Linked DNA regions of Astyanax mexicanus. The protein of the gene in region 1 purifies or fractionates together with the protein of each later gene. This does not show direct contact. Links are inferred from orthologs where the notes say so. Each region holds a gene or a part of one and is shown in the gene's direction. Other genes may lie near its edges. The genes, in order: inpp5ka and gart.

The links.
Region 2: the proteins of inpp5ka (region 1) and gart purify together in Homo sapiens (co-immunoprecipitation; 3 studies listed by BioGRID and IntAct, counting the BioPlex papers as one, with this or other methods). This does not show direct contact. The link is inferred for Astyanax mexicanus from reciprocal best matches to the Homo sapiens genes INPP5K and GART.

What each region holds. Positions count from the first base shown.
Region 1 is NC_064425.1:30,524,617-30,537,539, reverse strand, and holds the start of inpp5ka (inositol polyphosphate 5-phosphatase Ka), read left to right. Parts: upstream 1-7,010; 5' UTR 7,011-7,432; coding exon 7,433-7,674; intron 7,675-10,024; coding exon 10,025-10,129; intron 10,130-12,430; coding exon 12,431-12,539; intron 12,540-12,923. UniProt on the Homo sapiens protein: Inositol 5-phosphatase which acts on inositol 1,4,5-trisphosphate, inositol 1,3,4,5-tetrakisphosphate, phosphatidylinositol 4,5-bisphosphate and phosphatidylinositol 3,4,5-trisphosphate.
Region 2 is NC_064428.1:7,037,917-7,050,499, forward strand, and holds the start of gart (trifunctional purine biosynthetic protein adenosine-3), read left to right. Parts: upstream 1-6,832; 5' UTR 6,833-6,978; intron 6,979-12,390; 5' UTR 12,391-12,399; coding exon 12,400-12,544; intron 12,545-12,583. Other genes in the region: uncharacterized protein LOC111193577, read left to right, coding at 19-171, 920-1,089. UniProt on the Homo sapiens protein: Trifunctional enzyme that catalyzes three distinct reactions as part of the 'de novo' inosine monophosphate biosynthetic pathway.

The sequences.
Region 1 (12,923 bases):
GCTGGCTGCTGGAGGGAATGGGGAGAACTGAGGGAACAGGGGGAACGGAAACAGTGGGGGCGGGGCAGGAACGGTGGAAAAGAAAGAAGCAAGGCCACTGGCCAAAGGAGCAGAAAACACTGGAGGTGGGAGGGCAGAGAGAGAAGGGAGTGGGGCAGAAAAGGAAGGAGGCAGACGAGAGAAGGTGAAGGAAGCAGCACCCAGGAGGTGGAAGCCACAGTAGAGTCGTCATGCCAAGATCCACGCCGGGAACAGCGAGCAGGAGTAGGCAAGGGCTGAGATGAATGGCGGTTAAGCCCATTCAGGAGCGGGCACGCCGAGCTGGGGAGCGACCTAGCTGGGCTGGGGAGATGGCGCATCGGGCTGGGGAGCGGCCCCATGGGGCCAAAGAGCGATCCCGTCGGGCAGGAGAGCAAAAATCGTCGAAAAAGCATGGGCATCAGGCACAGAGATGATGGACTAACTCTAACCCTGAACTATTAAAATAAGTTACATTTTCAATATTCCCAACTCACCTATTAAAATTACAATTAAAACTACTTTTGCAACATTCTTTTCATACTTTTCTCAGACTTAAACATCACTATTGAATAGTGTGATGTATAGTTGCTGTATAGTTGGTCAAAACATATACAAAAACTGAAAGAAAAAAAAACATTTGGATTTTCTTGGATTCTCACTATTTACTCAGGACATGTGTTATTACTGTGGCTTTCACGTTACAGCAGTGTTTCTCAACCCTGTTCTTGCATATTCTTCTACATTTTCCCACTGTTCTGCATTTTCTAGATTTGTCTAAGGCACTTAAAGTAAATGGTGGTATGATGTGTCTAATACACTGCTGGATATGCATAATGATTGATTTATGGTCCGTAGGGGGCTAAGAGATTTTAACAGGTAAACTCAAAAAGGGATCATTTTAAATTGCTTTAAACTACCAGCATGAAGCATTGTACTAAATTCTATCTATCCACAACATCCAGCTTCTAGCTAACAATTTTAAGTCCTGCAATCCTAAAATAACAAGCATTATTTTGAAAAAAATTAAAATGAAATAGTTATTGGCTTTCAAAACTCAAAAAAACTCTAAAAACCCTCCACAGTGAAAAGAAAAAGAAAAAGTGACATCCAATACAGTAGTAACATTTTTACCATCATTCAGCTGCGTTCCCCTACCATCATTCAGGCAAACCAGACTCCGTTCCCCGTTCGTATCACAGTAAACCCACACAAAGAAAAAAAATAAATGAGGTTTCCTGCACACATGTGACATCCAGACTTCCCAAGTCTTCCGGAAGACGCGGGAGTCTACCGCGTATCAAAAACGGCCCCCTGATGGCAGCAAATCAGATAAAATCTCCTGGAAACTAGAACGAGTGAACACAAACGCTCACGCAGACACAGCCTTTTTTCCCCCATTCGCTTGTGGGAAAGAGAGGGAGAGATGGGCACTTCCCTCGTGTGCATATTAATGAAGCGCATGCAAAAAAGAGAGGGTTCTGATTGGCCTGTTCTCTGCAAAGACTGAGTCAGCCAATCAGTTTTTAGTGTGGGTGGGCAGTGTTTTTTTTTTTTTTTTTCAGGTGTGGGGGTACCTCTGTGAAATAAATATTTGCAACTTGGGATGTCTGGTTTAAAGCAAACTATATTTTTAATAAACCACAAAATATGTAATATTAAAGTAATTTTTCAAGTATAATTTAAGTAAAATGTAAGTCACTTTTTTACAGTGAGTGGGTAAACAAGAGCTTAATAGAATAATTTATGCTTAGTTTTGTGTCACTTTGGCAAAAAAAAGCACATTTAAGACGAATTTTTGGATACGGCCTGTCAATTTGTCCCTCTGATAAACTAAGCTGACTTCAAACAAAAACCAAAATAAATAAATAATAATAAATATATAGAATAAACTATATTGTTACATATGACACAGAATACAGTAAATAAATATAAAAATTGACATTTTGTATGGGATAGTTAACTTAAATCATATACTGAAGAAAAATATACAGTGGATAATGAAATGCAAATAAATAAAAAAATATATAGAACATTTTAGAGTCTGTCTTGCACAGTTGACGTGTATCTAGAATAGAAATTATACTGCTCCATTCTATGTAGTTAGGTGGAAACTGTACACACTCCACTCCCCAAGCAAAGGATCCAAGTAGGCTTGAATAGTTAAATGTGTATAAAACACTATATATTTGTGTATAGAACACCATTTTATATAATAGCTGATGTTACAGTAATGATGAAATAGTAAAAGAACGGAAAGTAACAGTAAGACGTTTTAATATGCACAAAGTAGAAGGACTTTTATTCAAGGACTCTTATTATGAAATTATTGGAGCGATGTATTTGTGGTGAGCTTCACTGGGCAGCCGCGGCGGTAGTAGCAGCAGCGCTATGGATGGGAGGAGAGGAATATAAACACGGACCTGAGGAACCAGAGCTCAGTTTACATTAACACTCCTTCTACCGAGTGCTACAGAACTCTTTAGACTCGGGAAAAGGGACAGAGCAGGTAGATTATAACTATATATCCCTTCGTTGTGTTTAAATCGTCTGAGTCTCTGTGTTAGAGATGAGTGTGGTGATAACGCGCGGTTAGCAGCAGGTCCGGGTCTGACTAGCTGAACTTACACAGATAGATAACTAAAGGTTCACAGTGATGGTGTACTGCCTAAACAGCATAACAGTTACATTTTCATTCAAATATATATTTCTCTCTCTCGCTCATTGTTTTTAGCCAGTGTTTAGGCTCAGTTGTTTATTTATCTAAGAGTTAAACTACTTACATTGTTTTAGCTTTTAGTTATAAGTTATAACCTTTAAGTATTTTGCTTTTCCGTACAGCCAGAAACTGAGAAAAAAAGTGCCATCTGCTTAATTTTATCTTGGGTCAGATTCGGGTGTTATTTGTCAGGTTTTAAAAGTTTTAATACAGTCAAGGATTTAGACAGTGTAAATTATTGATGGTTTTGAAGATGTGGGGGGTTTTAATGATTCTCTCTGTACCGTGGATAATGGCATTTTACACTTCTCTTATATTTTACATGAAGTTTTTTACTTTACTGTCAATTAAAAATTCCCTGTCTCTCTCTCTCTCTCTCTCTCTCTCTCTCTCTCTCTCTCTCTCTCTCTCTCTCTCTCTCTTGTCTCTCTCTCTCTCTCTCTCTATGTCTGTCTTTATCTCTAAATAATCATACAGTTTCATTGCTTGTAGATTGCTACACAACAGACCTCATCTTTAGACATTAGTTAACTTCCCTCAAACATACATTCATTACATTACATTAATATTACATATAATGCAAAACCTGTGGATGTGTATGCATATAATACATGTGCCACGTGCATAATTTTAATGCATTTTTTGCCAAATGGGAAATCTCATTTCACCCCTAAATGTTTTTGAAAATTGACCCTTTGCATGTCAGAAATTTAGGAAGATTGATAAGTTAAATACATGCTGATTGCTAATTTTGTGAAGACTAGTACTAATTTTACTATATATCAAGCTACATTACAGTATGAAAAGATATAAATATAAATTTGATTGTAATAAAGACTATGGTGATCATTTGTGTGGACCAGATGTTTATTTTTCATTGGTTTATTTTTTCTAATAAGCCAATTTATTTTTTTCTATCCATTTCAATTTTTTGTTAGAATATTCCTGAATACTTTCTATTTGACAGTTGAGGCATCTTAATTTTAGAGTATAATTTTGTATCACTGATAATGATAAAATTACTTTCAATATATGACAAATTTGTTTCATCAACCATGTTACAACCATGACTATGTATTAAGCAACAGTAGCATTCTTAAGTCAAAAATTTTATGTGAAATTAAGAGTTATGTATTTTGGATAAGATTAGTACATTTTGTTAACAAATTAACAGATTATTTGCAATATTTCTGGATCTAAATATTATGAATATTTTGTGTATTGATAAAGTAAACCTAAGAATTGAGAGCAATTAAACTTTTATTTTTAAGTAGTAGCAGTGGTTTATTGTATATAATGCGTAATGTAATATATTTGCTGTTTGGCTTTGTTTTTGGTTTTATAATTCAGTAATTCTGCGTGTGTGTGTGTGTGTGTGTGTTTGACAGGTGTGAAGATGGAGCAGGAGGAGGCCTTGTCCAATGCCCTGAACTCCATCAGTCTGGACCAAAAACTGGACTCATTCAGGTCACCTTTTTTATTTCTGTCTTTCTGTTTGACTGGTTTAGTATTATGCTCAAAACATGGCAGTGTGAGATATACACACACTTTGTGCTCTGCAGCAAAAAAGCTCAGATAAAATCATGTTTTAACACTTTAGATCCTCATTGTGAACAGTACAGCCTTTCACTTTGGACAGAATGAAAAGGCTAGTCTTGTAAGCAAAAAGTAAGATATTAAGTTTCTCACCACATGTCAGGCTGAACCGCTGAATGAATGGTCTTTGTTTGGAAAAGGGGTCACTTGTAAAGCAGCAGTTTTTATCACACTTTATTGTTCTGATTACAGTCAGACCTCAGCTTCAGAGACATTTCCTAACCTCTAAGTTAGCTTCCTGATTTTACAGCTAAATAAACTGATCAGAACTGACAGCATTATTTTTGACTCTAAGAGGCTTTGCTTTTAGCTATGTCCGTTACTTTTAGTTGGCAGAGGATGTGTAAATGTAACAAAAAAGCATTTTTTTAGGACCCTGAGGGGTGATTTATAGGTATGTTTATCTGAGGGGCACTATGCTTAGCTATGTTCACCCAAGGGCCACTATTTTCAGGTATGTTCACCTGAGGGGCACTATTTTAAGGTATGTTTACCTGAGGGGTGCTATTTTTAGGTATGTTCACCTGAGGGGTGCTATTTTTACGTTTGTTTACCTGAGGGGTGCTATTTTCAGCTATGTTCAGCTGTTTTAAGGTATGTTCACCTGAGGGTTGCTATTTTTAAGTATGTTTACCTGAGGGGTGCTATTTTTACGTTTGTTTACCTGAGGGGTGCTATTTTTAGGTATGTTTACCTGAGGGGTGCTATTTTCAGCTATGTTCAGCTGTTTTAAGGTATGTTCACCTGAGGGGCACTATTTTCAGTTACGTTCACCCAAGGGGCACTATTTTTAGCTACGTTCACTAGACCTGTCACGATACAACATTTTCGGGACGATATATTGTCCCAGAAGTTATTGCAATAAACAATAATTTTGTCATTTTAAAGGGACACTATAGAAAATGCTTTTTTCCTGCATCTGGAATCCCAAAGGAGCTTTAAGACAATGTGCCACATAAAATACTAGCTAGCATAATAATACTATTACATTTTACAGTAAAACTATTATTTTTTTTTTTAAGAACAGACGTTGTGCTTCCAATATAAGAAATATTTAAATATGCTAAATAAAAAAGTACAATATATATATAATATATAAAGTAACAACAAATAGATTAAAAACATTTACATTGATTCAACTTTTTTTTTTTTTTTTTTTTTTAACTCTGGACACAAAGGCACTATTTTCAGGTATGATCACCTGAGGGGCTCTATTTTTAGGTATGTTTACCTGAGGGGCTCTATTTTCAGATACATTTACCTGAGTGGCACTATTTTCAGATACATTTACCTGAGGGGCTCTATTTTCAGGTATGTTTACCTGAGGGGCTCTATTTTCAGATACGCTTACCTGAGGGGAGCTATTTTCAGGTATGTTTACCTGAGGGGAGCTATTTTCAGGTATGTTTACCTGAGGGGCTCTATTTTCAGATACGCTTACCTGAGGGGAGCTATTTTCAGATACATTTACCTGAGGGGCTCTATTTTCAGATACGTTTACCTGAGGGGCTCTATTTTCAGATACGTTTACCTGAGGGGCTCTATTTTCAGATACATTTACCTGAGGGGCTCTATTTTCAGATACATTTACCTGAGGGGCTCTATTTTCAGGTATGTTTACCTGAGGGGCTCTATTTTCAGATACATTTACCTGAGGGGCTCTATTTTCAGGTATGTTTACCTGAGGGGCTCTATTTTCAGGTATGTTTACCTGAGGGGCTCTATTTTCAGGTATGTTTACCTGAGGGGCTCTATTTTCAGATACGTTTACCTGAGGGGAGCTATTTTCAGATACGTTTACCTGAGGGGAGCTATTTTCAGGTATGTTTACCTGAGGGGAGCTATTTTCAAGTATGTTTACCTGAGGGGAGCTATTTTCAGGTATGTTTACCTGAGGGGAGCGATTTTCAGATACATTTACCTGAGGGGCTCTATTTTCAGGTATGTTTACCTGAGGGGCTCTATTTTCAGGTATGTTTACCTGAGGGGCTCTATTTTCAGGTATGTTTACCTGAGGGGCTCTATTTTCAGATACATTTACCTGAGGGGAGCTATTTTCAGGTATGTTTACCTGAGGGGAGCTATTTTCAGGTATGTTTACCTGAGGGGAGCTATTTTCACATACGTTTACCTGAGGGGAGCTATTCAGGTATGTTTACCTGAGGGGCTCTATTTTCAGATACATTTACCTGAGGGGAGCTATTTTCAGATACATTTACCTGAGGGGAGCTATTTTCAGGTATGTTTACCTGAGGGGAGCTATTTTCAGGTATGTTTACCTGAGGGGAGCTATTTTCAGGTATGTTTACCTGAGGGGAGCTATTTTCAGGTATGTTTACATGAGGGGAGCTATTTTCAGATATATTTACTTGAGGGGCTCTATTTTCAGATACATTTACATGAGTGGCACTATTTTCAGATACATTTACCCGAGTGGCACTATTTTCAGATATGTTTACCTGAGGGGCACTATTTTTTTTAGCCACATTGCTTGTTGCTAGTGAAAATTGTATTATAGCTATGGGTAAACTGTAGGTGTAACTGCAGAGGTTACATAATCCCAACTTCACACTTGAACCCTATTTTCAGGCAGGTCCGTTTTTGTAAAAAAAAAAAAAAAAAAACTGTTAATATATGCTTGTTTGAAATATTGGTTTGTCAGGGAACAGGAAACACAATCACAAATAAGTGTATGGTTTGCATTGGGAAAGCGCTCTAAATTTAGTCCGAGTGGTAGTAAAAGTCTTAAAACGTTTCATATTTGATCCCCTCTTACCTGCAGACACCCTGAATAGCTTGTGTGCTCACATGGCTCTGATTTGAGTCTACAGTAATTCTTCCCTAAGCCAGTCTGAAGTCCAGCCCACTAGAGCTCATGTACTTTTGCCTTTTCTGAATGAGTGTGAGCTACAAGCTACCACGACACTAAAGCTGAGAAATTCCTCACAGTTTTCTTTCATTGATTTGGCTGAACTTGAGACTTTCTTAACCATCCTTATTTTATACTAATTAAGTGGACAACGGTCTTGTTCATTATCTTAATTTAAAGATTAGTTGAAGATTGAGACTTCTTGAGAATTTGGATTCGGTGGAGACAGTATGGAGGAGATTACAGAGCATTTCAGCACCAAGGCCCGTCCGCGCTCGGACAGCGTGAACAGCACAGGCACTCAGTCCACAGGCAGCCGGATGCTCCTGCGACAGAGGCTTACCATGCTCATGACCTGCATGGATGACCTGAACTCTAAAGACAGAGTTCATGCACAGGTGTCCAAAACCCTGGATGAAGTGTTCGAGATCTGTGGGCAGAAAGCTCAGCAACGCCAGAAGGATCAGTTCAGGTTTTTAAGTTTTAATTGGGTTTATAGGGTTGCCATTGGTTTCACATAGGGTTGCCAAACAATATTATATTCTTGTTGATGTTAAATCGTTTCTGGTTTTAGAAATATAAAATTTTACTAAAATTTTAAACCAGTACTGAATTATGTGTTTCTAGAATACCAGAATAGTTTTTCAGGTAAAGCTGGGCAACGTCTTTACTTATTGTACTGCATTTGCAGCCATAAAATGTAAATTTACATGTAAATGTAAAATAAATGTAATGCAAATCAAGATAGATATAGTCATAAGTGGACTATGGACAAAGAGAGTTCATGCCCAGGTGGCCAAAACCCTGGATGAAGCGTTCGAGATCTGTGGGCAGAAAGCTCTGCAACTCCAAAAGGATCAGTTCAGGTTCAGTATTAACTGTGTTTTACATAGGGTTGCCATATTGGTTTTACATAGGGTTGCAAAACAATTCTCGCATTCTTCATTCTTCTTGATATTCACAGTCACATGCTTCTTGATTTTAACAAAATTCTGAGTTCTGGACAAAAATTTTAAACCAGTATTTGATTGTGTTTGTTGAAAACCAGAATAGTTGTTCAGGTAAACCTGGGCAACGTATTTACTTACTTTACTGCATTTGCAGCCAGACAGAAAATAAATGTAATGCAAATCAAGATCATTGAAGGTCATTCATTGTTTTTTCAGAAATTAAGAGTCTTAAAAATAGAGTTTTTCTGTTTTTGTTGGAATAACTGTCTCTTCTGTCTAGGTAATGCTTTGTAATAGATTTTAGAGCATTGTTGTGTGGATTTGATTGCATTCAGCTATAGACAAATTGGTAAGGTCAGATACTGATTGATATACTGTGGTTCTTGATCACAAACTCACTTTCCCACCCAAATTTATCCCCAAGATATCTGATCTGATGACAAGCTGTTCGTCTGCATTTGAATATCTGTGTCAGCAAACATTATTTTGATTCAGTTTTTAATAGAAACGTCTTGATGCACAACCCCTCCAGTAAAACTTGGGCCTCTTTACAACACAGTACAAATGTAAGAAATATTTATATTGCAGGTCAAAGGTCAATATATCGATAGCACTTAGCACCTAACAAACAATATATTGTGTAGTAGGTGTGTGCAATATGGCCCTAAAGTAATATCACGATATTTCAGGGTATCTTTGTGATACCGATATTTTTGGCGATATGACAAAACACTGAATAAAAAATAATCAATAATACTCAACTGCAAAAAAAATAAATAAAATAAATAATAAATGGTATTGCATACGATATGATATGGCACACCCTTAACTGAGACAAAAAAAAAAAACAAGAATTTTATTGAAACAGACGTTTATGATCCAGAATGTCCTGATATTAATAATGCACTCCATATATTTCCATATCTCCAGGATTAAAGTAAAATAAATGATACTGGACAGATATAATCTGTCTCTAGTAGATATATAATGGGAAATAAAAACAGTGTGAATTTTTCTTTTGCTAAAAATAGCAAAAAACTAGTACCCTGATGTGTTAATTAGGGGTGGGTAATTAAAGCATGATATTTCAGGCTACAATGTCATTCACGATATTCAAAAATGTTGGCAGTATTGTTGCATACAATACGATATGGCATTCTTAACAGTACAAGTGCTCCAATTGGTTATTTTATTGATGGTGTTTAAGAACCAATTTTGTTCATTTTTGTATAAAGAATCTTTTAAAGTTTTTAAGAAATTGATGAAAAGATTCTTCACTAGTTTGGAGGTTACATCACATCACTTTCAAAAAACAGTTCTTCTGTTTTGTCTCTCAATAAAGCCTTTGTAGCTCTGTTATTTTTAGAAGTGCAAGAGAGCGGATGCATTTTCTTGGAAAAGGCCAGGAAGCATTTTCTGGAAGCCTTTTTTTTTCTTGTGATAATAATAGCCATTTTTGTTTGATACTACAGTTCTTTTTTGTGTTCCTGAAGAAAAAGAAAGACCTTTGTTCAGTCATGGGCTCAGTGTATCTGTGTGTTTGTTGATCTGAAGGTCTGAAAAGCAGAGTTCTTAGAGAGAAAAATTTGTACTGTTTTTGTCACACTAGAAATAGCTAAGATGGATTAGACAGGAAGTCTCAGATCCTGATCTGCAGCGTACTTTGCCTGGAATGTGCCAATTTCTTGAAATGGCAATTTGTTAAACACAAGAATTAGGATAAAACATACCAAGGAGGATAAACATGCCATTCACATTACTCACAGCTTAATCAACCCATTCTACTTCTGCTTTGAGTCGTATTAAAGTATTATGTTTAATTTTGCTAAGTTTTATTTATATCTTTTTTTTTTTTTTTTAAACCCCCCACAGGCTCTATATGGTCACATGGAACGTGGCTACAGCTGAACCTCCAGAAGATGTCAGCTCACTGCTACAGCTTCATTCTTCTAAGAAAGCAGACCTTTATGTGATCGGGTGAGCTTGAAGTCATGCTTGAATATCCATGCAAAAATCTTTTAAAGTCTGAAAGGAGAATTGTTAATATTTTTAAACTGGCCTTTGCTCCTACATTAGATTAGAGGCCTGAATCTCATTTTTACTGTAAAAACTCTATTATCTGCAGAGATAAAAGGTTTTAAACTAGAGAAGATTCACAATTTTTATTGTCACGTCACAGAGTACAGGTGTACATGTGAGTGAAAAACCTGGGTGCAGGTTCCCACTAGTGTGCAGAGAACAGTATTTACAACAAGTAGAATAGTGAAATCAAATAGAATACACAGATGTAAAAAGAGTGACAAACACACACACAACGAAAAACTGCAGAAGTAAGAGGGAAGTGCATTTCCTTAAGAGGGAAATAAAGTGGGCAAAACAAAGGATGAGAAAACTAGGCAGACAATTGGATAAATAAAAAAAGAATAAATCTTTAAAATTAAATCAATTCTCAACTAAGCTTTATTTATTTATTTATTATTTTTTTTAAAGAACAACTAAAACCCTATCCAGATGTCTGAGTCCTCTGAGAAAATTACAGGCTAAATTATCTACTGTTTTTCACTGAACGTTGTAAACATATCTGAGTTGTTGTTGTCACCTCGCGTTTAATAAAATAGCTATTTGTTTACTGCTATGCACCGTAATTACACCTTGTGCACACGTTTCCCCGAATATTCACGTAAACCCAGTGAGTGGAAATGGAGGAGCTACTGAATGCGATGTCGTGACTGAGAAAGCCAAAAAAACACACTGGTCCTCCTTTTTTTTTTTTTTTCTTTTGCAGTCTGGATGCAAACTTTTTTAGTCCAGATAGGGCTATAATGACAGTTTTATTTATTTATTTATTACTTTGTTACTATTTTGGCACAACTACAAATGTATTAAACAGCACAATTTAGATATATCGAATATAGAAATGAATGCTTCTTTTACATTTATCAAAATCAGTCTTTTACATTTGTTTTTATTCAAACCATCCAAGCACAACAAACCCTGCATAAAACAATTACAAAATAAAAAACTAAGAATAGCAAGCAGCTTCCTTGAGCCTAAGAAGCAGTGTTTGTAATAATGATCTGCCACATTAAAAAGTTCTTTACTCTTTACAGGTTTCTGATAGAAGCACAAACCTATCTACTGAGATTCTGTATGGCAGTTTCTATATCTAAAGATGTACAATTTCCATTAACCCACTTTGAACGTTGCATTAAAATAGTCATTTAATTAACCTCTCAGCGCTACTTATGTCGAGTTTTTGACATGGTTTGGTTAAAAAGACTGGCAGCATTACAGGTTTAAAGGCTAATTAGTTATAGCCTTATTAGCCTTTAGTTATTAACCCCCACTACAAACTAAAAGAGCAGGGTCAAGAAATTCAGCCATAGCCATCAATTGGCTGTGTGTAGTTCTTTTCCTGGTTTTATTTCTATGTTTTCCTGTACTACAAGATCACATATAAGGAAACCAATTCTTTTGTGTGTGAATGATTTACAGGTCATGTTTATGAGGTACTGGACGCATATATTCATAACTAAAAACTTGTATATAGTATTGTTTTATGAATATGTGGTAACATTTTAAATAGCTAAGGGCAACCAGGCTTGAGTCCTTTAGCAGATAAGGTCACATGGAACAGTAGATGAAATATAATATTCTAGTTTATAAAAAGCAGTAAATATATAGCGGAAATGTTTAGCATATAGTCGTCCTTTTAATAAAAAGCCATTGGTGAGTTTATGCAGCCAGTGGAAGTCTGGCAAAACTAGATTCACCAGAAAAGTATTCTTGGTCGCTCCACACCCAACATTTGCATTCATGTATTTACATTGTTGAAGCGTGACAGCTGAGAATCAGCAAACATACTGTATACTGAGTCAGTAAAGCACTGTTCATTTAGCACAATTCATTAAGATTATTAAATGAATGTCTCAATAGAAATATAAAATCTAAATATATATATATATACTCAAATATAAGGTAAGTTAAATAGTTAGTAGGTGGTTTAGCTTTCCTTCTATCTAACTATCAGCCACACAATGTTCAGATCACTGTGTGTTTTTCATTTAGTAATGTGACTATGAAAGTCTGTGTATTATACATATTGTCATAAATAGATATTATGTGTTTTTTCCTTTAAACATAAATATTCCTGTTATTATTAATGTAGGTTTTTGCAAACCATCAAAAAAATGCTTATTTATTTATGTCCAGTACGAGTGTGCAGTAAGTGTAAGAAGGAGTGTGTGTCTAAGTGTGTCTACTTGTGTTTTCCCCCAGTCTGCAGGAGGTGAGGGCAGCCCCCCTGAAGTTTGTGACAGACCTGGCCTTTGACGATTCCTGGAGTCATTTGTTCATGAACATGCTGGCTCCTCTGGGTTATATTAAAGTACTGCTATTTCAATACATTTCTGTTATTCTGATAGACATACTTGGATTTCGACCTATGTTGCTAATGGCGTAATAAGCTAATTTGGAAAATAATGGGGGAATAGACCACTGAAGTCGTGCGTCATTCTGTGGTCCTCATATAGCTTCCGTGTTTTTTTCCCGACTCTATCTCATTCTGTGGTAAATAAATCTGTTCAGACCCCTGTACGTTTTACTCTGTGTACATTTTACTACTAAACACCACTGGATCCTCTGAATTACCAGATCGTTTAAGAGTCGTAATGAGAGAAATGCTAGCTTTAAGCTAATGCTACAGCGGAGTGAACTGACCTCCCAGCCCAGCTGCAGAGATCAGCAGGGGACTCTTTTCGGTGCAACACCA
Region 2 (12,583 bases), on another chromosome or scaffold:
GCTTCTTTGTGTTTACAGCTGGTGAAGAAGACGTTCATGTACGTCTGTGCAGTGAATCTGTGCTGCTGATCCGCCGTGAAGACGTCTTAAACAGGCTAACGCTGGACTGCCCACTCTCACTGATCTCAGATCAGCAGGCTGACCCCCGCTGGAAAACCATCAATGTTGAAGGTACTTTAAAAGTCTGTAGATATGTTTGGTGTCTGTTTACTCAGTTTACTGCGCTTTCCCAAACTGCCAAATGAAAGATTGGAGCTGTACAGGACTAGGATAGTAACTTAGCTGAGATAACTTAGCATCTTATTGTTTACTACAAGTCTGTCTCTCTTTCTTTGTGTGAATTTCACTCATGTAACTTAAGTAGCACTGCTGAGGTACATTTATGATGAGAATAGCACTGCTCAGGCTCCGAGTGGTCCAGTGGGCTAGGCGCTGCCCCTCTGATCAGGAGATTGAGATTTCCGGTTCGAATCCTGGTGATGTAGCTTGCCATTAGCTGCCTCCAAGTGCGCTGTGATGCTGCTCAGTAATGCTGCATCAGCAACAGTTCAAAAAGAGGTGGCTGACTTCACATGTATCAGTGGAAGCATGTGTTAGTCTTCACCCTCCTGGTGTGTTGGGGCATCACTAGTGATAGGGGGAGTCCTAATGAGTGGGTTGAGTAATTGGCCGTGTAAATTGGGAAATAAAATTGAGTAAAAATTATAAATAAAATATATATATATATATATATATATATATATATATATATATATATATATATATATATATAAAAGAATAACACAGCTCCACATGCTCTGCTGAATGTTACTTCTTTATTGTAATTTTAAGTGTTTTTTTTTTTTATTACAGTAAAATTGAACTACACTATTTCCTGTCCATATCATTGATTGCTTTCTTTATTTTTTATTATTTCTAGGTCAAGTTAAGCAGATGATAAATGAAGAAGACCACAGTGATCAGGACCATCCAAAAACGACGCACATAACCATCCCCGCAGCGTACAGCTCTGGAATCACGCTCTTCACTCTCAGAGACTCTGCAGTTGGTCAGGAGCTGCTCGGTGCTCCAGAGCTGCCTGTGTTATAGTCAGCAGTTCACTATGATCTGCATCGTGTCTGGACTTGTCCTTCATGCAGCTCGTTGCTGTGCTTCTTATAGATGATGTGCAATTGAAGTTTTGTGTCAGTATTTTAATCTGTACGAAAACGATTAGCGAGATTTTTAACACTGTATTCTCTGGCAGACTGGTAAAAGGTGGAAGTTTTGGCGTGTTGCACTTGTGTAAACTTGTCCACTCTGCTGTTGTGAAGAACATCATACTTTTAGATGTGTAAAACTGATTTATTTATATAAATTAAAAGCCTGGAAATCAGTGTACTGAAGGGATATGGCAACACAGTGCACTGGTTTTCAGTTCTACCTGTGTGAATGCATCTTAAATATTTTTATCTTATTATTAGGGGTGTAACTTTGCAGAAAATTCACGGTTTGGTTCACACCTCGGTATAAACCCCACGGTGCAGTATGTTTTCAATACGTTTTCGGTACGGTTGGTGGAAAAAAACAATTTCATAACAATGAATCTTCATTATAACCATGTTTAGTTTTTGGGATGGAATATTGTAACAGGGCTCGAGCTCTTTTATTAAATGCTTAAAACCAGGGTTCTCTCCTACTGTCATCATCAAAGCCTCCATCTTCTGGAGCCTGATTGTGGTGCTTTATTAAGAACAAAAACAACAGCATTGTATTACACACAGAGTGATCTATTTTAAGTGTTTATTTTATTGATGATGATTTTGGATTACAGCCAATGAAAACCTAAAAATCAGTATGTCAGAAAATAAGAAAATTATATAAGACCAATTGGTACTTTTGGCAGTGTCGGCAGTGTGCCAAATCCTGCTGGAAAATGAAATCTCTCTAAAAAAAAAAATAAAAAAGAGAGACATGTCATCTGCTGGTGTTGATCCACTGTGTTTTATTATCAAGTCTAAAGTCAGTGCAGTTTTGTTTTCCCACAAAATCTTACAGCACTTCATGCTTCCCTCTGCTGCTGACAACTTTTATGGAGATGCAGATTTCATTTTCCAGCAGGATTTGGCACACTGCCCACACTGACAAAAGTACCAGTTGGTCTTACAAAATATATTGGGTTTTCATTGGCTGTGAGCCATAATCATCAACAATAAAAGAAAAAAATGTTTAAAATAGATCACTCTGTGTGTTTAATACATCTATATAATATATGAGTTTCACATTTTCAACTGAATTACTGAAATAAAATGATTTTTTTAATGATATGATATTTCAATGATATTTACATTTTTTGAGATGCTCCTGTATTTAATAGTGTTTAGATGCTGGGTAAGGCTGATGTGGTTGCGATGTCATGATTGTTATAGCTAATGAAATGTTTTTTTTTTATCTGTAGTGTTTATGATTATTTTAATAAACTGATGAACCCGTAGGAGTTCATTTCTAAATATTGATATCAAATACGAAATTCCAAAATAACTGAATTGGATACATTCAGCTCATGCATGTTTTTATAACTGTAAATATATATATATATATATATACGTATATATATATACATATATATATATATATATATATATATGTATATATATATATATATATATATATATATATATATATATATATATATATATACGTATATATGTATATATATATATGTATATATATATATATACAGTTGTGGTCAAAAGTTTACATACACTTGTAAAAAAACATAATGTTATGGCTGTCTTGAGTTTTCAATAAGTTCTACAACTCTTATTTTTCTGTGATAGAGTGATCGGAACACATACATGTTTGTCACAAAAAACAGTCATAAAATTTGGTTCTTTCATAAATTTATTATGGGTCTGCTGAAAATGTCACCAAATCTGCTGGGTCAAAAATATACATACAGCAACATTAGTATTTGGTTACATGTCCCTTGGCCATTTTCACGGCAACTAGGCGCTTTTGGTAGCCATCCACAAGCTCCTGGCAAGCTTCAGGTCGAATGTTTGACCACTCTTCTTGACAGAATTGGTGCAGTTCAGCTAAATGTGATGGTTTTCTTGCATGAACCCGTTTCTTTAGCACTGTCCACATGTTCTCAATGGGGTTTAAGTCAGGACTTTGGGAAGGCCATTCTAAAACCTTAATTCTAGCCTGGTTTAGCCATTCCTTTACCACTTTTGATGTGTGTTTTGGGTCATTGTCTTGTTGGAACACCCAACTGCGCCCAAGACCCAACCTTCGGGCTGATGGTTTTAAGTTTTCCTGCAGAATTTGGAGGTAATCCTCCTTCTTCATTATCCCATTTACTTTCTGCAAAGAACCAGTTCCACTGGCAGCAAAACATCCCCAGAGCATAATACTACCACCACCATGCTTGACAGTAGGCATGGTGTTCCTGGGATTAAAGGCCTCACCTTTTCTCCTCCAAACATATTGCTGGGTGTTGTGGCCAAACAGCTCAATTTTTGTTTCGTCTGACCAGAGAACTTTCCTCCAGAAGGTTTTATCTTTGTCCATGTGATCAGCAGCAAACTTCAGCCGAGTCTTAAGGTGCCTTTTCTGGAGCAAGGGCTTCTTTCTTGCACGGCAGCCTCTCAGTCCATGGCGATGTAAAACACGCTTGACTGTGGAGACTGACACCTGTGTTCCATCAGCTTCCAAATCCTTGCAGACCTGCTTCTTGGTGATTCTTGGTTGACTCTTGACCATCCTGACCAATCTCCTCTCGGCAGCATGTGATAGCTTGCGTTTTCTTCCTGATCGTGGCAGTGACACAACTGTTCCATGCACTTTATACTTGCGTATAATTGTCTGCACAGTTGCTCTTGGGACCTGTAGCTGCTTTGAAATGGCTCCAAGTGACTTCCCTGACTTGTTCAAGTCAATAATTCGCTTTTTCAGATCCACACTGAGTTCCTTTGACTTTCCCATTGTAGCTTTTGTAGCTGAGTCTAATCACTGGGTCAAATGAGCCCTATTTAAATGGGCTCATGAGAAGTCAACAGCTGTAGTCAATCAGAATCACTTACAAGAAGTGTAGAGGCCATGACATGAAGCTAATTTGATTGACACAACTCGCTACATCACCAAAATTGACAAATTTTGTTGCTGTATGTATATTTTTGACCCAGCAGATTTGGTGACATTTTCAGCAGACCCATAATAAATTTATGAAAGAACCAAATTTTATGACTGTTTTTTGTGACAAACATGTATGTGTTCCGATCACTCTATCACAGAAAAATAAGAGTTGTAGAACTTATTGAAAACTCAAGACAGCCATAACATTATGTTTTTTTACAAGTGTATGTAAACTTTTGACCACAACTGTATATATATATATATATATATATATATATATATATATATATATATATATATATATATATATTAATCCTGATTACACAACAATTTGTATAACCTGTATTTGAACATTTTGTTCCAGAAATCAGGTCAGTACTAATTATAAAGAATTCAAAACATTTTATTAAAACATTGTAATCATTAAACTGGTTAAAACAGAGCTGTAGAAGGAGAAAAAAGTACTTTTTACACAAGTTTTATCTCCAGCACTCCAGCACTCCTATATTCTGTGTAAATAAGGTGAGGTGAAAGAACACAGGACACTACCCTCTGTCCTGTAGTGATGCACTTAGGATGTTCAGTATGTGTCACTTAGTCATAATAATAATACACCATATATACAGCTCTGGAAAAAATAAGAGACCACTTAAAAAATGTGTTACTTTGATTTTATCGAATTGAAAACATTTGGAATATAATCAAGAGGAAGATGGATGATCACAAGACATCAAACAACCAAACTGAACTGCTTGAATTTTTGCACCAGGAGTAAAGCAGCATAAAGTTATCCAAAAGCAGTGTGTAAGACTGGTGGAGGAGAACATGATGCCAAGATGCATGAAAACTGTAATTAAAAACCAACCAGGGTTATTCCACCAAATATTGATTTCTGAACTCTTTTTTGTTATTTCAGTCATTTCTCATTTTCTGTAAATAAATGCTCTGAATGACAATATTTTTATATGGAATTTGGGAGAAATGTTGTCTGTAGTTTATAGAATAAAGCAACAATGTTTATTTTTTATAGGAATATATACCTATAAATAGCAAAATTCAGAGAAACTGATTCAGGAACTGAAGTGGTCTCTTAATTTCCAAAGCTGTATATGATTTGTTCTTTAAATGGCCATATATAGTATTTATATTTACTAACACTACTGTATATTACAACAAAAAATCTTATATTTATTCAACTTTAAAAACTCAACACCCTAAACACTTAATCAAACCACAGTATTCTACTAAATAAGTAGACCATTATTATTAGATTTAGTGCGGCTATGTGTGAGGGAGATGTGTTTTAGACATTTACAGAAATACAGAAAAATAGCCTATTGGTTTAAAACAATATGCAACATTTAACATTTAACTACGTTTACTCCAGTGAAGGTTTAAAGACATTATTTCACATTTTTCTACAGTAACATTTCTGCAGTATCTTTGCTTTAACTCAAACACAGGGTTTGTATTTTTCCTCCACCACTGCTCTAATGCGACTACAGACCAGAATGAACTACATTACCCATAAGCCCCTGGAACACATCGCGGAAGTGTGAGCAGAGCCGTTATGAAGTTAAAGGTGTGAGTGTGTGTATAAGTGTGTGTATAAATGTGATCAGTGTGCTGCTATGTAAACCCCGCGCGCTGTATTATAGATTATAGTAATTTATATATACGGGATTATCTGTGCTGGGTGTTCAGTCAGAGCGCTGAAACTGAAACACGTGTTTGGTGATTCTGATACACAGCGATCCTACTGATCAGTGATCCGATTCAGTTCAAAGAATTGATTTTTTTATTTCAGACACTTTTAAACGAATTTAACAACAGATTCAATGAATCAATAAATCGAGTCAAATATATAATTATTAAATCTTTACAATACGATTAAATACATGTATAAGTTTATTAGTAGCGAGCTTTAACTGTAACTCTAACTGTATATATTAATTTAATATTTTATATTATACGTTTATATTGTATATTTATATCTTAAGCAGCTGCTATGAATTCTTTATTATTCTATATTTTTTATTTTATTTATTTGTATTATTTTGCATTTTGCCCTTATTTTGTTATCTTTATCTGTTTATCTATTGTAAGTTTATTGTTCTTTGATATGTGTGAATACTATTGTGATTGTTACTTTCTTCTTCATATACCTATATCTAATCGTTGTTTTTTTTATTATTTGTGTATGTATGTGTTATTATTATTATTATTATTATTATTATTATTATTATTATTATTATTATTATTATATATTTATTTTATTGCGCAACATATAATAATCAAGAACATCCAAGATTAAAAAAAAAAACTTGACAACATATCTCTTACTTTCTGTCAAATTAAACTTGTTTATATACCTTAAAACACATTTTTTATTACTAAGTCACTTAAGAAACTACTATTATTATTATTATTATTATTATTATTATTATTATTATTATTATTATTATTATTAATAATTTATGTAATTATTATTTTACACAGCATGTCTCAATAACATCAAAAATGTAAAAAAAGCAGACACAGCTTATTTTTTATTTATTTATTTCTTTTTGCACAACATATCAAATATGAATAAAATATATTTTATTATTTTTTTATAACTTTAACATGTAAACCTGTTGCGTCAGCGCCACAAAACTTTCTGGGATTCATTTGAGTTTGTGAGCCGAGTTCAAAAGAATCGATTCAGGACAAACGATTCTTTCAGGAGTTCCACACGAGCAGACTCCCAGTTCACACCAGTACAGACCCGAGTCCTTCCACTGGAACCTGGACCGCAGCTGGAGCAGCAGCACCGCACACCCCGAGCCTTCCCTTCCCTCTGTACTGACTCCAGAACAGGTGAGATACAGACTCATCACCTGCTGAATCCTCTGTACTGATCTGGGATTAGTGTTTAGAGTTTATCTGCTGGGTGAGGAAAGTTACTGTAGCGTTGCTTCATCTGAATTTTCTTTCACCAGTATCTTCCTGCTGCTCACATGGAGCTGCAGCTCTCCGTCACTGGGTTTATTACTGGGTTTACTGGTGAGATAGACTCTCCAGTTGTGTTTTAAACAGGTAACGTTTGAGTTAGTCCGCGTGCAGCTCTGTGCTGGTAACATGCTTAACTCCTGCCTCGTGAATCACATGCCTGCAGCCACCAAACCAATTTAATCACTGCAGTAAATTGGTTGCCTTGTGTAGCATTTTTGCGTAAATTAATGTCGCTTCCTTTCCATGTTAAATTCATGCTTAAATAATCGTTTGTAAGCTTTGGGAATTGTATCAGTGGGTTTTTGTGCCATAGGTCAAACAGGGTCACTGTGAACCTGGGTTCTTTTTTTAAGGTGGACCAGGTACAGTTATTGGTGTATGATTTGCTTCCTTACAGATTTCACCTTTTTTTTTTTTTTTTACCTTTTTGTCCCATTTACATTTTTCGGATGATCAAACAAACTTCAGACAAAGATAACCAAGATAATCTGAATATTGATCATCTATCACTTTGAAAAATGTTACAAAGACATTTCTAAAGAGAACATGGAAGACTGGTGAATCAGCCTACTCCAAAGGGCATGGACAACTCATCCAGGAGGTCACAAAAGAACCCAAAGCAACATTTAAAGAAGGTTTGGAAAAAAAAAAAAATTGCAATTTCCAGGCCATGATAAGTTTTGGAAAAATAAAAATACCCAGAAAGTTTTGGAGAAGTCATGGAAATTTGGTCTACAAATCTTTGTTTTTCAGTTTATCGATGGAGAAAATCTATATTAAGCTAACAACAAATACGTCAGCTCAGAGTTAATTCAGTAATTTAGCCCGACACTATGGAGCTCTCAGCATCTGACACATTTTATTATTAAAGATTGTGTCAACATTTTTATCTGATTTGTTTTAGACCTACTAAAACCAATTTTAATTATACTTATATAATTCATGGAAATTTATGGTTCAAATGTGTATGAATCCTGTATAGAGGTGCGACTATTTACTTTTTTGTAGTAGTTGACTAATCTGCGGAATAGTTTTTTTCCAATCCAGTGCATGTTTTACTGCAGCTTAACAGCTTCATATTTAGGTCAATAGACTGATTTTGATTGTTGACTGCAAGATAGGGATGTACAACACAATTTGGAACATTACTGTGAATTACTTGGTAACAGATGCCTTTTGGGTAGTGTACCTCTTGGTGAGAGATTGTTGACTACTAGAGATGCCTCTACAACACAGTAGAAGACAGTATTGTGATTGAATTGTAATGTATTTTGTGGAGTCCCACAGGGTTCTACTGTAGGGCCTATAAATTAATGTTAAAAAAATATAGAACGGTAGTTATTACAGTTACTTGAAATTACTTGCATTTGGGCTCTATACAGATTAAGAACTAATACCAGACATTCGTTATAGTGCTTCTGTTGGTCAGGCAGATTGATAAGTCTATTTAATTGTATGGTTGTCTGAGTTCCTGCTCCTGTGACATTTATGTTGTATATGGATTTACTGCCTTATGTGTGAATAAAAGGTCACTAATTTCTTCAAGCTATTAAAATGTTGGTTCCAATCTCATGATTGGTGCTCTATAGGTCACTTTATTCATTCAATTAAACTCCCTGCATATACTTATAAACCTCCACATACAAACCTTATCTAGTGCCTGTAGAAATGTACTGCCAGTAGAATAGGACTCCTTTGAGCATGAATCTATTGGCTGCAAAGCTCTCCAATAGGGGTGGGCAATATTATATCGTATACAATATATCGTGACACAGAAATATCTTGATATTAATAATCCATATCGTGATAATAGGGATGTTCGGTCTTAAAAGTAGTCTACTGTTTACTGTGAAGCTTTAGGTTTATTTATTGTATAATATAAGTTTTAGTTTGCAGTTTATATGCATGCACTAAATATTCTGCAATATTATTTGCTGCATTATATTATTTTATGCTATATTATTTTTTTTGCCACATTTATGATTATTCTGTCATACTATTATACTATATTCCTGAAATTAATTAATTATTTTAGTTTTCCTATATCACCAAGTATATCGTTATCATAAAAATACCCTGAAATATCGTGAAATTATTTTAGAGCCATATGGCCCTATTTACCTCACTGGTGATCTTGCTAGATTAGGGCTGCACGATATTGGAAAAATAAATGAAATTGCAATATGAAAAAAAAATAATAATAAAACAGAATTTAACACCAAATTTCGTCATTGATCCAAGACCAGGACAATATATTGATATTTTGTTGTATTGTGATACATTTTCTTATTGTATCAATAATAAAAAAAATAAGGATATCATCAGTACTTAAAGAACACCGACCCAACTGTACGTTTCATTACAGAGAGTGTAAAAGAATCCTGTTTCATTGGATGATGTGCAGCAAAAACTAAATAGTAAGCACTCTATTTAATGTGAAGGAGTATTTGAAAAGCAAAAAAAGCAGAATCTGCCACTGCTGGTGCATTTAGTCTGTGTGCCAAGCCATAATAAATTCTACGCATCGTGAAAATGTCTTTAAATATCATGATATATTATTTTTACCATGTCACCCAGCAGCTCTATCAGTATGTCAAGGGTGCTGGCTTTTATCTTATTTATAACAACTTCGGAATTGTATCATATCAACCTTAATTGACAAATATATTGTGATAAAAAAATGTTGCCATATTGTCCAGTACATGATATTAATATTCCAATATGTGTCTCAATTATAAATATGTGATAGAAGTAACTGTACCATAGCAGTTTCAAGCAGCAAAAAAGATGAAACGTAACAAAAAATAATTTAATGTTGCACAGATCCGTAAGAGCCCAGACCCATTTCTAAATATTGATGCCAAATTTCAAACTAAAGGGGCACTAAACCGCCTGATTTTAGCTGACTCCACCTTCAGCTCAAATTTTAAAAAGACAAAAAAATGGAAGGGACACTGGGTGATGTATGGGTTTAGAGGCAGAACAGGAGGGGGAGCTGAATGGCTGAGCTGCAGCTGCAGCACTGTGCCTCTAATAGCAGTAAGGTTGGATGTCAGCAGGAGGGTGGTGTTATTGATTGACTGATTTGCATATTGTGATTTGTCTGCCTACCAAAGTACACAGACACATCATCCTCACCTATAGCACAGCTGAACCTGAGAGGGCGCTGCAGAGGCAGAAAGTACCGCAATAAAAGCATTTTTTAAAGGTTAGGAAATGTTTATAAAAGTTTTAAGCAGGTCTGTTGTGTTTTATTATTTATTTTATTCAACGGAACATATTTCAGCTATTATAATTTAGGGTTTAGTGGCTCTTTAATTCTGAACGTACAGTTCAGTGAGCAGTGGCCACATGACTACCAGTAAATATTTTAAGATAAAATTCTTGATGCTACAAATAACACAACAATTTAATATTATAACTTGTATTTTAACATCATACTCTAGGAATTGGGTAAAAACTAGTTATTGTACGGAATGTAAAACATTAATTAAAGTATTTCAATTGTTAAATGATTGGAACAGAGCTGTAAAAAAAATACACTTTTAAAAGGAACTGGTTTTGTCTGCAGCAGTAACCCTAGCATTCTGTAAATACTTTGTTTAGTATGCATCACTTAGGAACGTTAATAATGGGTTATGTATAACCCATGTGATGTATAAAGTGTTGTGAGAAATTTTACACAGCTTTAAAGGGTCTGTGACACATGGGTCACCATTCATTGAGTTAATTGAGACATCCCCCTGGATGTGTCTTTGTTAGATTATTTAATCATGTTTAAATGCCTCCATGCTGTTGCTCCAGAGCTGCTCAGTGATAGATTTATCAAGATATGTGTTACGGTTACAGGTCTGAACTTTGGAGTGTCCTGATGACCTGTGCACTGTTGGAAATCTTTGCCCATTTAAACAAAGAATCAAGAGCATTCTCTTTTTTCTTCGTCACTAATCTCATTTATTAAGGTCCCAGCAGGTTATCTTAATTACATAAAGAGAACAAAATAAGAGAGCACTTAAAAATGATGAGTTTCTTTGATTTTACCAAATTGAAAACCTCTGGAATATAATCAAGAGGAAGATGGATGATCACAAGCCATCAAACCACCAAACTGAACTGCTTGAATTTTTTTGCACCAGGAGTAAAGCAGCATAAAGTTATCCAAAAGCAGTGTGTAAGACTGGTGGAGGAGACCATGATGCCAAGATGCATAAAAACTGTGATAAAAAAAACAGGGTTTATTTCACCAAATATTGATTTCTGAACTCTTATAACTTTATGAATATGAACTTGTTTTCTTTGCATTATTTGAGGTCTGAAAGCTCTGCATCTTTTTTGTTATTTCAGCCATTTCTCATTTCCCCCCCCCCCCCAGAGCTATATTATTATTTTTTTGGTTAAAAATCAATGTGAAGCAAAGACACTAAGGGTGAGGAACACCAAACTTGGCCACAAGGTACACCAAAATGACACTCATTGGCCTGATGGTGGCGTTATAGCAAAGCATCATTCGTTTTGTCCAATAACTTCAGAACTGTAAGACCTATTCTCAAAATTCTTTTTAGCACTCTTTTGTCAATGTGAACAACAGTGCGAACAAGTCCTAGGATTTTTTTTACTAATCTTAAAATGTTTGGGATCAAACTCCTCAGGAAAAGTGTGATTCTCACCAGGGCAAAAAATGTCGATATTTTTATACTTGATGGCCGCCACATACAAATTTATAATTTTAGAACGAAACCAAACGTACTCAGGTGACAGCTATAACATTGTAAGGCCTAAACTGATTTAAAGAAAACTTCACAAACTTATTTAAGACTGATTCTGTGCAGACATGTCAATTTGTTTCCTGATGTACTCCTGAAGGGGGAGGAGTCAGTGCTAAAAAAAATAAATAAAATAAAAATAAAAGTTTCTCAGGAACCATATAACCAATCCAGTTCAAAATGCAGCTAATTTAATCTATATCCCATGTTGTAATTATACACCAAAAGTTGATTTAAAAAGGAAAAAAAAAGAAAATGCCAATCACTTTTAGGAGATGTGTCCACGTTTAAGTGCATTTAAGTGCTATTTTGTTTACACGTTGCATTCTGGAACAGATTTTCTGTAAATGTATATTATGTATTTTTGTGGGACTAAGTAAACCCTATAGTAATCAAAGCCAGTAGAATACGCCACAAATCCATATAAATCCAGTCCCATATAAAACCCCAGTCATGCAAAAAATAATCTTTTAGGTAAAACTGTGTCATGATTGGTCAGTTTTGTGTTTTACAGACAGGTGCCATGGCGGAGCATGTGCTCGTGATTGGCAGTGGTGGGCGGGAGCATGCGTTGGCGTGGAAGCTGGCGCAGTCTCCTCACGTCCAGAAGGTCCTTGTGGCCCCGGGTAACGCGGGCACGGCCGACTGCGGAAAGATCTGCAACTCTGGTAGGTGTATATAGAGCTGATAAAAATACAAATATCAAA